2 linked regions of the Caenorhabditis elegans genome follow. The protein of the gene in region 2 interacts with the protein of the main gene of each other region in a pairwise test. Each region holds a gene or a part of one and is shown on either strand. Other genes may lie near its edges.

The links. Proteins that work in one complex are often made in the same cells at the same time.
Region 1: the proteins of R06F6.8 (region 2) and Y71G12B.27 interact in a two-hybrid assay, tested with the Caenorhabditis elegans proteins (one large-scale study listed by BioGRID).

What each region holds. Positions count from the first base shown.
Region 1 is NC_003279.8:1,795,465-1,801,195, reverse strand, and holds Y71G12B.27 (Cyclin-dependent kinases regulatory subunit), read left to right. Parts: upstream 1-2,473; 5' UTR 2,474-2,550; coding exon 2,551-2,694; intron 2,695-3,544; coding exon 3,545-3,757; 3' UTR 3,758-3,761; downstream 3,762-5,731. Other genes in the region: Y71G12B.5 (Apolipophorin), read right to left, coding at 1-325, 1,281-1,479; rml-5 (NAD(P)-binding domain-containing protein), read right to left, coding at 4,855-5,135.
Region 2 is NC_003280.10:10,813,284-10,823,125, forward strand, and holds the start of R06F6.8 (Guanine nucleotide exchange factor subunit R06F6.8), read right to left. Parts: upstream 6,696-9,842; 5' UTR 6,667-6,695; coding exon 6,655-6,666; intron 6,603-6,654; coding exon 6,462-6,602; intron 6,413-6,461; coding exon 6,302-6,412; intron 6,252-6,301; coding exon 5,790-6,251; intron 5,736-5,789; coding exon 5,644-5,735; intron 5,564-5,643; coding exon 5,026-5,563; intron 4,899-5,025; coding exon 4,606-4,898; intron 4,510-4,605; coding exon 4,218-4,509; intron 3,620-4,217; coding exon 2,637-3,619; intron 2,243-2,636; coding exon 2,017-2,242; intron 1,968-2,016; coding exon 1,850-1,967; intron 1,802-1,849; coding exon 1,669-1,801; intron 1,034-1,668; coding exon 92-1,033; intron 35-91; coding exon 1-34. Other genes in the region: ech-4 (Delta(3),Delta(2)-enoyl-CoA isomerase), read left to right, coding at 7,749-7,801, 7,850-8,456, 8,502-8,999; R06F6.12 (uncharacterized protein), read right to left, coding at 9,178-9,552, 9,726-9,832. UniProt on the Caenorhabditis elegans protein: Probable component of a guanine nucleotide exchange factor (GEF) that may be required for efficient fusion of endosome-derived vesicles with the Golgi.

The sequences.
Region 1 (5,731 bases), on a different chromosome or scaffold from region 2:
GAGAAGTCATCGGAGAATAGAGTAGCAATACGGGAAGCATCTTTCGACTCAAGGGCCTTTGTCACAGTTCCCAAGAAAGTTTTGACGATTTCTTCGGGATTAGCATGATCACTGAAATGCCTCGGAGGGCAGGATACAATGCTTCCACTAGCCAATGTTAACGTCTTTGCGCAGAGAATGAACAGCGCGTCGATTGATGCAGCACCGAATCCATTGATAGATACAATATAACTGATTCTGTCGTCGGAGAGGGGCTTTGCTGATTTAAGAGTGAAGGAGAATGGGGTGCCAGCAGGGAGTTTGCTTAGAATTTTGGTGGCGGTTTCTGAAATATTTGAGTTATGTAGTGTGTCGGGAATTTGAGTGGCATGGTGCGAAATTTAAAATCTCAGAGGTTTTTGCAAGGCGGTTAACAATTATGGGGTTATTCAAGTAATGTAGCAAAATGTATTTAAATACATTTGTGACGTCACAAATGTATTAAAATACATGTTTTTATGTATTTTAATACAGCTGTGACGTAATTTTTCTACACTTTTTAATTTTCTGACACTACTTGAATAACCCCATTACGGAGGGATTCACAATAGAGATTAGGCTAGTGGTACATCCATACATATGCGCTCTACTGATAATTTGAGTTTAACCAGGTTTGGGCGAGTTTTAAAAAAAAGTTTTGGTCCAAAAAATGTAGAATTTATTATCGGACATTTTTTTACATGCACCAAAAAATGTTCGACCAGCCGTTTTTGAGGAAAAAAAACCCGCCCAAACTTCCAGGTATACGGTAGACAAATTACGTACAGGCCCCCCTTCTCGGGTCGTGTTAGGGCTCCCAGCAGAGTGAGGCGCGAAATGCGGGCCTCACGCCGACCTCCGCGCACCGATGTGTGTATGCAACGAAGTGCGAAGGGTAGTTATTTGGAGCGGCCGACAAGTTCGGGGTTCCGCAGCTTGGCGTGAAACGAGTAGCTTGGTGTGTGCAGTGCACAACGTAGTTCGAAACTGTGGTTGGCGGCCGACAAGTTCGGGGTTCCGTGCCGCACTATACATTCGGATACATGCGGCGTGAGTGACGCCGACACCGTGAGGCCGGCGCGGCTACCGCTGAGGTCGGCGCGGGACTCGTTGCGGCGACCTCATGGGAGCCCTAACAGAGATGTTAAATTGTTTCAAAATAGCACCGAAACTACTTAATTATAACTTTGCGAGAGCTTACAGATCATTCAAGAATCCCGTCAATTTTTCAACATCTTAAGGAAATTGCCTAAAACACTCACCCTTGTCATATTTTCCCTTGCATCCTTGAAACGAGAACCCATCGGAAAATAGTGTAGCAATCCGGGAAGCATCTCTAGTAGCAATTTCATCTGACACTTTGCTCAAAAACTCCTTGACAGTGGTCTCGGATCCATCGGCGAGTCCATGAATAGTTCTGAAGAGAAGAAAAACGAGAAGAAAATAATTTGTCAGCCACATATTGTGAGGCGACTATCTGCGGAAAAGACGGGATGGTGGGCTCCTTTTAAGCGACAAGATGGGCGGTATGATCGTTATGAATAATCGAATTATTGGAGGGACGGGAATTGGGAATTGTTGCGGGGGACGACACGTCAGCACAGGGAATCGAAAATCAAATTTGGAAAGATGGGAAAAAAATCAAGAAATCTGCAAAATTCGTAGAAGAAAGATGAAAGTGTGGGGAGCTTTTAGATTCGGTAATGTGTATTTTCTATAGAATCCCCCAAAGTTTCGAGTTTTGACATTTTTCATAAAAATTTGATAATGCCAATCGATTTCAATTGTTAAAAAAAAGCAAAAGTTGTATTTTTCAAAAATTCAAAAGTACTGAAAAATCATATGAAGTGCTTCTTTTTTCTTTTATAATACTGTTCAGCATGATCAGAAATACCAGAAAATACTAAAAAAAAGTATGCTAGTCAATCCGGAACATATTTTAAAAAATTGCACAATTTGACCAAAAGCTGTATTTTTCAAAAATTCAAAAGTACGCCAAAATCATATGAAGTGCTTCTTTTTTCTTTTATATTACTGTTCAGCATGATCAGAAATACCAGAAAGTATCAAAAAGAGTATGCTAGCTTGACCGGAAGATTATTTTGAAAAATTGCAAAATTTAGTTAAAATCTATTTTTTCAAAAATTCAAAAGTACTGAAAAACCATATGAAGCGATTCTTTTTTCTTTCATAAAACTGAAAAATAAATGAAGTAAATAAAACGATGCAAGCGCGCTCCAATGCGAATTTGAAAAAATTATGCGGGGGCACAAATGAAATTCGGCGATTTCAAGCTCAAATATAAAATCAGGGATTTTTTTGTTGAATTTTTTTTACATCGATATTCGGAATACTCCACGTGATTTGTAAAATAAATACAACATTTCAGAATTTAAAAAAAAAGAATTGTCCACGTAACCTTGCCCCCCCCCCTCTTCCTAATTGTTCCAACAACATTTCCAAAACTCCTCAACAATCATTCATTCCCTACTTGTCGTACAATTAACATCGAAGAATAAGAGTTTTTGAAAAATGGAAGATATCTACTATTCGCCACGTTACGAAGATGATGAATACGAATATCGCCACGTCATTCTTCCGCAAGCCGTCTCGAGAAAAGTGCCAAAGGGAAGACTTCTTAGTGAGGCTGAATGGAGACGTGCTGGAGTTCAACAGGTATATTTTCAATTAAGTGATATGTTAAGATTTTAGGAAAAAAATCGATAATTAAAAAAAATAGATTTTTCCAAAAATCGATAATTCACAAAATTGATATTTTGAAAAAGCCAATATTTTAAAATATTTTTTATTAAATTAAGCAAGGCTCCCAGCCGAGTGAGGTGCGAAATGTGGGCCTTACGCCGGCCCGATAATTTAATTGCCGGTTTGCTGATTTGCCGGAAATTCTCATGTTCGGCAAATTGCCGGTTTGCCGATTTTCCAGAAATTTTCAATTCCGGCTATGTGCCGGTTTGCCGATTTGCCAGACATTTTCAATTCCGGCTATGTGCCGGTTTGCCGATTTGCCAGACATTTTCAATTCCGGCTATGTGCCGGTTTGCCGATTTGCCAGACATTTTCAATTCCGGCTATGTGCCGATTTGCCGATTTGCCAGGAACTTTCAATTCCGGCAATTTGCCGGTTAGCCGACTTGCCAGAAATTTTCAATTCCGGCAATTTGCCAGAAATTTTCAATTCCGGCAGTTTGCCGATTTGCCGATTTCCAGAAATTTTAAACTTCGGCAATTTGCCGGTTTTTTGATTTGCCAGAAATTTTCAATTCCGGCTATGTGTCGGTTTGCCGATTTGCCAGAAATTTTCAATTCCGGCAATTGGCCGGCTTACCGATTTGCCCGAAATTTTCAATTCCGGCAATTTGCCTTTAATGAAAATTTGTTTTAAATAAACATTAATATGTTGATAGAATCGATATTTCAAGAAAACCGATAGTCATAAAATCGACGAAAAAAAATCAATATTAAATTTCTGAATGTGGCCGAATTATTGATTTTTCATACTTTTCAGTCACTTGGATGGGAGCACTACATGGTTCATAACCCGGAGAAGCACATTCTCTTGTTCCGTCGGAAGCGCCATTTCACAAAAGCCGACGAGGAGCGTGCCAAAATGGAATTGTTGAGAGATATGGAAGTGTTCAATAGAGCGCAACAGCAAACGACAGCAACCGATGAGAAATTGAACGCGGTTTTCTATGAATTTGTGAATAAAGCAGTGTAGATATTTTGTAAGACTTTGGGCTTCCATGGGTGAGCGGCGGTGCGTCTCGCGCCGGCCGGCCATCGCCGCTGTTATTTGGAAGCGTCCGACACGTTCGGGGTTCCGCGCCGCACTATACATGACTGAGGCGTCTCGCTGGTCGGCGAAGGCGCCTCGCCGGCGCAGGAATGGAAGCCCTAGTAATACCGTATGTTCAATTAAAAAGCGCCGAAAATCGATATATTACAAAAGTTGCTTTTTAAAAAATCGATATTTTGGGAAATCGATATTTCGACAAAAATCAATATTAAATGAAAATCGAAGTCATAAAAATCAATATTTTGCAACAAAACCCGTATAGAATAAAAATCTCGGCCGCCATAAAAACGAAGCATAAAGATTTTTATTTCAAATTTTATGTTAACAAAAATTACAAATTTGTTTTGAACGTAGAGTACACCAGGGGCCGGCAATTCCCGTTCGGCAATTTTTTTTGTCCACAAATTCGGAAAGTCGGCAAATTGCCAGTTTGCCGATTTGCCGGAAATTGTCATTTTCGGCAATTTGCCGGGTTGTCGATTTGCCGGAAATTTTCATTTCCGGTAAATTGCCGGTTTGCCGATTTGGCAGAAATTTTCAATTCCGTTAATTTGCCGTAAATTTTCAATTCTGGTAATTTGCCAGAAATTTTAAATTACGGCAATTTGCCAGTTTTGCCGATTTGCCGGAAATTTCAAATTGCGGCTATTCACCGGTTTGCCGATTTGCCGGAAATTTTAAATTCCGGCAATCTGCCGGTTTGTCGATTTTCCGGAAATTTTCAATTCCGGCAAATTGCCGGTTTGCCGATTTGCTGAAAATTTTAAATTCCGGCAAATTGCTGGTTTGCCGATTTGCCGATTTTCCGGAAATTTTCAATTCTGGCAAATTGCGGGGTTGCCGATTTGCCAGAAATTTCCAATTTCGGCAAATTGCCGGTTTGCCGATTTGCCTGAAATTTTCAATTCCGGCATTTTGCCAATTTGCCAGTACAACACTAATTTCAAAATTTATTGATTGAAAAAATCGCAGAAAAAGGAATGCTTTAAGTTCAAAAATAATTTGCAAAAATTCAATAATTAAATATTATTATTAAGTCCTCCAGTCTTGCATGCCTTAATCGATTCCAGCACGTTTTTATCGATTTTCTGTCCAATTATGAGCGTTTTTTCGAAATATTCCAACATTTTCCCAGTGTATCCTTTAACGGCAAGAGCTGAAGACTCTTGGCTCATAGAAGTATTTCCAAAATGGGTGAAGTGTAGGGAGAACTTTTCGGCAATACTTGCGAGAAGCCATGGAAAATAGAGATTAGTCGCCATATTGGTACGGAGAGTGAAGCAGTCGCCTTCGAATGAGTCTGGAATTTGAAATAAAAAGCTTTTTTTTGGCCCAGAATTTTTTTCTCGGTGAAAAAATATTTTAGCGAAAAAAGCTTTGATTGAATTTTGAGACAAATTTTAAGTCCAAAAAAAATTTTTTTTTTGACATTTTTGAATTTTTTTAAAGCATAAATTGACATAAATTTCGACCAAAAAGATTCTTTCGTGGCCTAAAAACTTTTTGCGGCCACTGGCTTCCCTCATAAATTGAAATGGAAGAGTTTTTGCCGAACTAGGCCATTTTGGCTCGGCCATATCTGGGGTAGATTTACGGCGCGTTTCGTGTCGCGTCGCGGCTTGATTTTAGTTGTAAAACTAAATGTGTTTGTCCGTGTGGAGTATACGACTTTCCCACACGTTTTCCGGCGGGCGATTGTCAATGGAGCGCGAAAAATTCAATGAGAAAGGCCAGAACCCGTGATTCGTGAAATTGAATTTTGAGACAAATTTTAAGTCCAAAAAAAATTGTTTTTTGGCATTTTTGATTTTTTTAGCGTAAAAAGAAAAGCATTTCCGACCAAAAAATATAATTTCATGGCCTAAAAACTTTTTGCGGCCACTGTCTTCAGCCACC
Region 2 (9,842 bases):
AAGAGCATCCTCAGCACAAACGACATCATCATATCTGAAAATTTCACTTTTTTAGTCTCGATTTTCAATTTCAAAAGTCTTTGGATATTACCTTTTCACCGATTTATGAGCTCTATCTGCGCTGCGACTCCGTTCTCGTCTTCCTCCATTCATTCCATTTAATTTTGGATTCGAAAACGAATTATTTAGCTTAGAACTTCCAGAATCCGCTCGTCTCCGGCCGCGTTTTGGATCGTCAGCACTCGTTTTCTGTGAAGCTTTCCGATTCTCATTATCAGGTGAGAATTTGAGATCAGCACATCCTGCTTGTTCGGCAACCACTGCCAAATGAGCATCGAATGCTTGTAAAAGTGCCACGTATCCACAGCATTTCTCGACCGCCCATCTCGAGAGCTCACTGCACGCGAATCGAACTCTGGCGAAGCTCTTCTCACCGGCTCTTCGAACCATCGAAACGTTGATCTCCTGTCGAAGCTTTCGTTCATCCCGACTTAACAGACAGAAAAGGAATATCCAGTCAATAGTAGCAGTCTGGGAGAATAGAGAAAGAAGAAGTTCCAGTTGATGACTACTTTGCAAATTTCCACGCGAAGATTTTTCTCCAACTAAGAAATCAGTATTCTGGTAGCAGTCTCCGGCAAGACTTCGAGAATCACAGGATGAAGGTGACGGTGGAGCCAATGGAGCATGATGATTCATTGAAGAAGATGTCGATGGGGATCTATCGATTACTGGTGCCAGTTCCACAGCACTTCCACGTACTCTTTCCAGCACGGCTTCTTGAATCTCAACGTCTTCTTCGCTAGCTTCAATATCCGTTTCACGAATTCTCGATCTAGCTCCATTTAAATCAACTACAGTCCTTTCCAATTTTCTGGCTTTAGGCTTCTTTATATTATCCAATGAGTCATTTAGTAGTCCATTCAAGCTTGCAGTACTCTGGCTGACACGAATATTTCCAAGCTTCTTCTCAATTTGATGCACGAATTGAGAACCGATGAGAGGATATGGCCACGAGAATTGAGCATGGAGTCTGAAAATTTTTGAAATTAGAGTTTTTTATATTAAAAATATTCCCAATTTTTATTGAAAATCGACAAAATCGAAGGAATATTCAAAATTTCCGATAGTTTTTCAATAATTTTTTCTCATCAAAATTTACATTTTTCTGGTTAATATTTAGCTTCTGGGTTTTTCTCATATATTTTTACAACGCTTAAAATTTTTTTTAATTTTTCGATTTTCAAAATTTCAGTTTTTTTTTTTTGAAAGATAAAATTTGCATTTTTTTCCAATAATTTTAGATTTTAAAAATTCCCCCAAAAAATGTTTCGTGTTTTTTCTTTAATTATTATTTTTTACAGAAAATGTAACAATTCAGAAATTTAAAAATAAACTTAAATTTTCGAGTTTTCCAATTTTTCCGAGAATTTAAAAATTAAAAAAAAAACGGGAAATTTAAAATCAAAAATTTTTTTTCCGTATAATGTATCATTTTTCTGAAAAACACGAAAAATCGGAATAATTAAAAATTTAAATTTTTTAGTATTAAATTTCAAGTTTTTTTTTCGATTTTCAGATTCTCGAAAAAACTGGAAAACTCGAAAATTTAAGTTTATTTTTAAATTTCTGAATTATTACATTTTCAGTGGAAGAATCCCAATTTACCTTGTAAGTGCCAAGGCAAAATCTTCAATCAAAAAGCAATTTTCGTTTGTAGTTTTCGGTGAAAGAGAAATTTGTTTCCGTCGCGTCTCCAAAAGACCGAGCAAATCGAATTGAAGTTCGGACCAGAAGAATCCTGAAAAAAATTGAATCCAAATTGTCCTGAATTTTTTTTTCCAATTACCAAGATCTAGAAGCCAATAATTATTCAGCAAATGCCACGCGTGATCTTCTAGAATTGATGTCATTTTTGCGGCGAGTCGATTCGTAGCCAATTGTGGAGAAAGTTCACCAGATAGGCCCTGAAATTAGATTTTATAAAAATAAAAATTTCCAGTAAAACACACAAACCCAAGACAACGCCATTTTATCCTTTGAACTTCCGCCAATCGAATCTTTTCTCGGTGCATCTTTTTGCTCAGTACTCTGTGAATGTCGAACTTTATTTAATCTTCCTCCAGCAGCTCCCGCTTGAAATCTATTAATCACGAATTCAGTGGAAGAATCAGCGGACGGTGAGGATACTGTAGGTCGGCGGGATAGAGAAGTCTTGGCACTTGGTGGAGGTGTTCTGAAACTTTTTAAAAATTAAAACAATTGCAAAGTTATTATCAAATTTTATTTTTGTTTGCTTAAAAACTACGGTAGCCGGTCTCGACACGGCCAATTTTTCAAATGCAAATGTGTGGATTACGGTATCTAATAATTCGTTGTTGCGAATTCAACTTAGTTTCGGTCATTATTCTATTTCTGAACACATTTAATTATTTTTCAAAGTGGGTGCCGATTCTGTGGATCGTAGCGTGAAACGGATACGATAACAACGGTGACCTTGATTCTGAATACCTCGCTTGATAAAAGGAGAGTTACGGATGTAGGGCACATGTATTCTGGGAATCTTTTTTCCGTGCGTTCTCTTTTTGGAGGCATTCTTTTTTAATTTCTCTATTAATGAATTCATTAATTCTTACAATGCATCAATATCCTCCGAACCAATAGATCTTGCAAATCTGACCATTTCCTTCGCAATCGTCCATTTTTTCTCTTCTAATGCTTCCTTCACAAGTCTCGCTGCTTGATCCATACTCACTTCGGTGGTTTCAAGATTTTGCAGGACAATCACGAAACTTGCAGCATTTTCGAGTTGTTTCAGTTGTAGACATTCTTCGAATAGTGCATTTGGAGATCCTGTGACATCAAATAACGTTCTCCAAAGTGCCAATTCAGTTTTTCGTGCACAATGTGCTACGGTTTTCAGAAATTCTGGAAATTCGTGAATAAAAGCTACACATCTTGGGAGAAGAGGATCTGGAATTGGTTCACTACTTGTAGCTTCTTCTTCAAGGACTCCATGGAGCAAAAGCTCAAGAGCATGCGTGAAATGTGGAAGAGAACGACAGGCTCCGGCGAGCTCCAAAGCAAAAACTCCAAGATTTCGCTTCAAAAGTTGTCGGAGCAGGTGATGCACAAATACTTCACTATTGCGATGAAGTCCATACATAGTGATACTTTCCATTTGTCCTTGATTTCTTGAAGCTCTTGCAACATGTTGTAGTTGACTCTCGACACCCATTGCAAGACAATCTTTGGCACTAATCACAATTGGATAGATATCAAGTTCAAATGGAAGCATTATTCGTTTCGCGATAAACGTCATTTCCTGTGTGGCTAAATTTCGTTTTCCTGGCACCAACGGCATCCAAACTTTGATTCCTTTTGCACCACAAGCAATCCATAAAGCATTACTCAAATGTGAAGAACATGATTGATTCATTGGAGATGATGGTTCTGAAGTTGTTGATGTGGAAACACTTTGGATTGAAACATTTGATCCATTTCGCCGATGGTTCTTCCATGGAAGATCTTGATTTTGAGACTGGGTTGATTGGGAGACTTGACAACGGTCATGCCACATTTTTTCCACGTATGACGCGATTACCATGGGTTGATGGAGCTGTAAATTTTATTTTAATATTGTATTTCCGAATTCCAAAAATTTCTAATTTAAAAACCAAACATTTCAGAAATCCCAAAACTTCCAAAATTCCAGAAAATTCAAATAGTCTAAATTTGAATCATTTCACAAATTCAAAACTTTAAAAAATCCGAAAATTAAAAAGAAACTGAATTTTGCAAAATTCCAAAATTGAAAAATTCTGAAAATTGAAAAAAATTAGTTTAACCGAGTTAACCGAGTATTTAGGAAAAAGGAAAAATTTTTCATGTTTTAAAAATACTGAAATTCAAAATGTTGAAAAATCTAGGAACGGAAAAATTTTGAAATTTCTAAAAATTGAAAATTATTAAATTTCGAAACAAAAAATTCAATTCCAAAATATTTTAATTTTTTTTAAATTCCAGAAAACCCAAAAATTCGAAAACTCTAGAAGTTCTGAAAATTCAAAAAATTCAGAATGTTTTAAAAATTTCTGAAATACCAAAAATTGGACAAGAATATAAAATTTAAAAATTCCAAAAATTCTAAATATTCATCAAATTTTGCAAAATTCTGGAAACTCAGAAACCATGCAATTTTAATTTTCCGTACAAACCTTTCCATCCTCATTAACACTCAAAGTGATCAATCTTCCCGAAATATTAACCAGCACAGTATCGATACTTGAATAAAATGCAGGTGACAACTTCCCCCGTACATCCAGATTCAGCTGTGTCATTTGAAGAGATACAATACATGTTGGATGTGGAACAATTTCGTTGATTCGAATAACAGTCACAATTTCAGTGGAGACTTTTGTAAAAGCATCTCGTCCAGTTTCCAAGTGAGCCGTGAGCTTATAAAGCGTAATTTGAGCCGATATATCGAATACTGCACAAACGTCGTCGCTGGAAAAATTGGGAAAATATTAATGTCACTGAATCTAGAATAATTCCAAAAAAACTGATAATGAGAGTTCATTTCCAAGATTGAATATTTCTTACCGTAACACGGACATGACCGATTTATGCTCCAAATCCACAACCGACGCATATCGACTGTCAAGTCTCTGAGAAATTGGATAAAATGAGAGATGGGACTTGTCAGTATCCGCAGCAACTCCAACAACTCCAATGACGTCATCATTCCAAATAAAGACACCTCCAGTGACCAAGAGATTCTTCTCTTGAGTCTCATTTCCAAAAATCTTCCAACGTCGATTGGATAATGAACAATATGCCATTCCTTGATCACCGGCCACGACGAGATGTTTATAGTTTCGATCAGTTGATGCATACTGAAAACATATTAAATTTTAACATTTTATTTTAATAAACTCTATCGGAAAATACCTACGTGCCTACATGCCTACCTCATGGTTTTACCAAATTTATGCTTTTAGTTTTTACTTTTAAAAAACTCACTCTCAGTGGCCAATTAGATGATAGATATTCATGTGTAACTGTAATATGATCCCATACAGAATGCGGTGCACAAGCTTCTGCTTCTCGATCCCTTGCAGCACTGATCAAAACCTGCGAGTCACTCATCAATACAGCTCTATCACAATGTTCCATTGCCGGGCTTGAACATGAAGCACTCCTCACGAATGGTTGCATCATAAGCTCATTTTCAGTTCCAAGCCACAGTTGGAAACCTTCTGGACCCCATTCAATAGCCGTGTATCTATCATTTTGATCTTCTTCGACGACACCTTCCAGATTGCAAAATGATTGAGCTCCGAATGAAGTGAAAACTGCGACGAGCCGAGGAAGAGCATGAGCTCCGGATAGTGGAGACCAAATTGCACCGAATCCGTATCCATTCGCGAGGGCTGTTATTCGGTGAACCGGACCCAGTCGATTCGTCAAGTCAGGACCATTTGTTACTTTTGGAGCAACTCGGAACGATTGAACGAGTGAGCCATTTAGTTCATCGATGTTATAGGCACAAACGTCGCCGCTGGAAATAGTTTAGATTAAAAAGAAAACTGTGCGTTTGATTTTTGAAAATTAAAATCTGAAAAATCTGAAAAAACTCACTTTTTACATCCAAAAAGAATCAGAAGGAACTTGTGATTCACATCGCAACACGTGGCATCTTTCATATTCGGAGCCCACACTCCCAGAATTGCCTGGAATAATAAAAAATGGGTTTTTTTTTTAATTTTTCATGATAAAAATCTCACATTAGGTGCAAAATTCGGATCATTCGACGTCAATAGAGCACCTTGACCATCGGAAAGTACAATCGCAAATCCTCCGAGAAGTGGAGCATACACGGCGTCAAAGATATACGTGGATTTTGAAGTAATATTTTCAGATTTCGACTGAAGTTGATCCACGGAGAACGGAATTGAACTGGCACGGAATGAGAGGCTTGCAATAATCTCTCCAGTCCAAGTGACATGATGAGTGAATCCATTTTGAAGGCAAACAAGAAATTCATCACGAGAAGGAACACAACATGTTGGTATATCAGCCAGATTTATGATTATTGTTGGATGAAGATGAGCTGTCGGTCGAGATCCTTTTATAAAAAGTTCCGGTGAGTTTCGTTGGAAATATGGATCCGCAGAGTCTGTGAAATTGTAGCATTGTTCATCGTCTCGCAAATCTAGATTATAGATTAAAATTTTGCATTGATTTGTCTGAAAAATATAATATTTTCAAAGAAAGAACTGTAAAATTTAAATATTACCGTTACAGCTATACTTGTTGAGTCAGGTTTCCAGTAAATTTCTTTTAATTCTCCACGTGTTTCTTTGAAATTGGCATCGATAACCCCGACGGAGCACAGGAGCAGTTGGGGCTGAATTTATGTTTTTTTAATCAGATTTTTATTAGTTTTCAGCACTAACATTTGCCAGCCAAATGTAAATCGCATCATTTGTTGCGACTGCTATCAATCTTCGATCTCGATTTGCCACAATTGACTTGATATCGGCGGCAGTCGAATCCTTTTCATGCTTCGGAAGCTGGAGAACCGATGGCCTGTCATTCTGGAATTTTCAAAAATTATTTTTTATTAAAAAAATTCTAAAGGAAACTTACAGGTATGAACATTCTATGCCAGATCCATCAAATGTTGTATTCTGTTGAAAAATATTAATTATTCGGGGGAAAACGGTTTTTTGCGATTAAAAGCTCAGTAATAAAGAAGCGCGTTCAATTTTTAGCAGATTCAATTCGACATCTTGATTTAAAAATTAGGAGATTGATTTTATTTTGTATTTGGAACGCAAAAACGTTTCAAACAGAATAAAAAGGCCTCCAGCTGTGAATATTTTTCAAGAGCAATCGCGCTCGGTTGCCACGCGTTAGAGGGCAGAGACGCAGACTTTTCAAAAATTTCAGGCGTTCAGGATTGCGTGGATGAAAATGATTTCACTCGAAAAATAACAAATTCATATTTAAATAATAAAATTAACACCAAAAAAAAAAGAATTAACAAAAAAAAACAACAAAACAATTGAATCAGAGTACTGTAGACAAAGTATTGTGCATTTTGTAGTTGCCGTGAACAAGGGTGTCAATTCCCGTGTCCCGTTTGTCCCGTTGTCCCGTTTTTGGGGTGTTTTCACGGGAACGGGAATTCTGTTGTCCCGTTTTTAAAATTTTCACGGGAACGAGAATTCCCGTTGTCCCGTTTTTGTAATTTTTACAGGACACTGACACCCTTGGCCGTGAACGTCCTTTGTCTGCAAATTTTATTGATTTTATTTATCAGTTTTCTGATTTCTCCTAGGAGGGGATTTCTCCTAGGACTCCTAGGGATTATAATTTGATTTTCACTGTTTTTTCTAATATTAAAATCTTAATTTCCAGGTTATCTATACAATTTGAGCTCTCTTTTAAAAAAATTGAAACTCCAAATTTTCCTGAATCTATTATTTATCCCATTTATAATTGCTCCACTATTGTCTTGCGTATAGTAGCGATTGTCCAGCTACACATTACAATGTGTATTCTTGTGTGTAGCCAGTTCATTCAAAACAACAAAAAGACGGCGGCCGTTCTTATCATTTACCCGGCCCCTCCGTGTACCTTGTTCTTTTCTTCACGTTGTCCATTTTCTTTCTTTTTTTCTCTTTTCCCCGAAAAAATTAATTATAACGTTTAAAAAATCAATTTTAATTCATTTCAGAATGCTTCGAAATCTCACCCTCGCCGCTAGAAGTGTTCTCTACAATCCGCAAGTGTAAGTCTGCAAAAATCATCTAATTTGTGAATAAATCTTCAATTTCAGTTCCGTTCGCTCGTTCTCTGCCCAGGCTGACTTCGAGAAGGCGCAGAAAAATCTGAAAACTCTGAAGGAAGAGCCGGACAATGACGTGAAACTGCAGCTCTACGGGCTTTTCAAACAAGCCACCGCTGGGGATGTGCAAGGAAAACGCCCGGGAATGATGGATTTCGTTGGAAGAGCCAAGTATGATGCCTGGAATACTTTGAAGGGACAAACTCAGGATGAAGCTCGCGCCAACTATGCTAAACTGGTCGGTGGACTCATTTCCGAAGAAGCTTCTGCTGCTCCAGAACCAACTGGGCCATCAATCGAAGGACTTGAGAACGTTGACGGTTTAAGTGTGACTCGCGAGGGAAAAGTGTTCAAAATCGCATTGAATAGACCAAAGAAGTTCAACGCATTGACATTGGAAATGTATCAAGGAATTCAAAAGGCACTGGAGGTCTCCAACAATGACAAGAGCACCTCAATCACTGTGATTACTGCCAATGGATCATATTACTGCGCTGGAAACGATTTGACTAATTTTAAAGCTGCTGCTGGAGGTACTAAAGAGCAAATTGCGGATATGGCTAATACAGCTAAAGTTATTATGAAGGATTATGTCAATGTTAGTTTAAAAATATATATTTCAATAATAAATTCAAATTTTCAGGCCTATATTAACCACGAGAAGCCTTTGATTGCTCTGATCAATGGCCCAGCCGTAGGAATTGCTGTGACCGTGCTCGGAATGTTCGACTACGTAATTGCAACCGATAAGGCCTCATTCCACACTCCATTTGCCCCACTTGGACAATCACCTGAAGGAGTTTCGAGCTACACGTTCCCACTGATCATGGGATCTTTGAGAGCTTCTGAGATGCTGTTGGTCTGTAAGAAAATCTCAGCCCAAACTGCAAAGGATTACGGGCTTGTGAATGAAGTTGTGCCAGACGCTGAATTCCAGTCACATGCTCAAAAAACTGTGGAAGCGTTCTCCCAACTTCCGCCAGAAACTCTTCGTATCAATAAGAAATTGCTCCGTTCTCTGCACAAGGAGAAGCTTCTGGAGGTCAACAATATCGAGGCCGACCAGATTTGCGAGCGTTGGCAATCCAAGGAGTGTCACCAAGCGATTGCAGCATTTATGACAAAAGGAGCAAAGAAGTAATTGTTTTGTGCCCTCTTAAGTTTTACCTTTTTTGTAGATTTTTTATGTATCTAAAAAGAATTATGTGTATTTGATTGAACATGTGCAAAAACAAAATTAAATGATTAATTTACAACAATAGAATTTTAGCAACATATAAATAAATGAATCCATAAATTTCGAGTAAAAATGAAGAATATCAACTGCTTTGCTCATCAAGAACTATAATCTTCTCACGAGTACATGAATCACAAGCTGGTAGCCGAATAACAATGTACGATGGCTCCTTCTGGTAGACCTTCTTATCACAAATCGGGCAACAAAAGTTCGGAGTATGTACTAGATGTGGTCCGTCGACGACAGGAGCCAACTGATACGACTTTTTCAGAACTGGAGGGCACAGATCATCGTTGGCTGATCGCTTTTGAGCAGCATTTCGAACTGAAGCCATATCCGTCCTCCGGAGCAAGACGGGCGGAGCAACTTGTTGATACTCGTGATCACTTCGGTCTCGCTGGGGTACGAGCATCTGGTCGATGGTGGCGTACGCGAATTCTCCATTCATTAATTGGATCTGAAATTTCAAAGCTTTAAAAAATATACTTTATAGAAGTTTTATGAGCATTTTTCTTCGTTTTTTCTAGAAAAGCTCTGTTTTGATCCAAAAGTTGAAAATAATTACATTTTATCGGATCAAAACAGAGCTTATCTTGCCTAATTAAACAGAAAAAGTAAAGAGTTTCTCACCTTGTACTCCGAATCGCCTCGAACATATTTGACAACCGCATCTTGAAGACGACCATCAGCTGTCCGAATTTGAACGGTTTCTCCAATTATTGGGCTTCTTGTAGATTCTAAAATAAT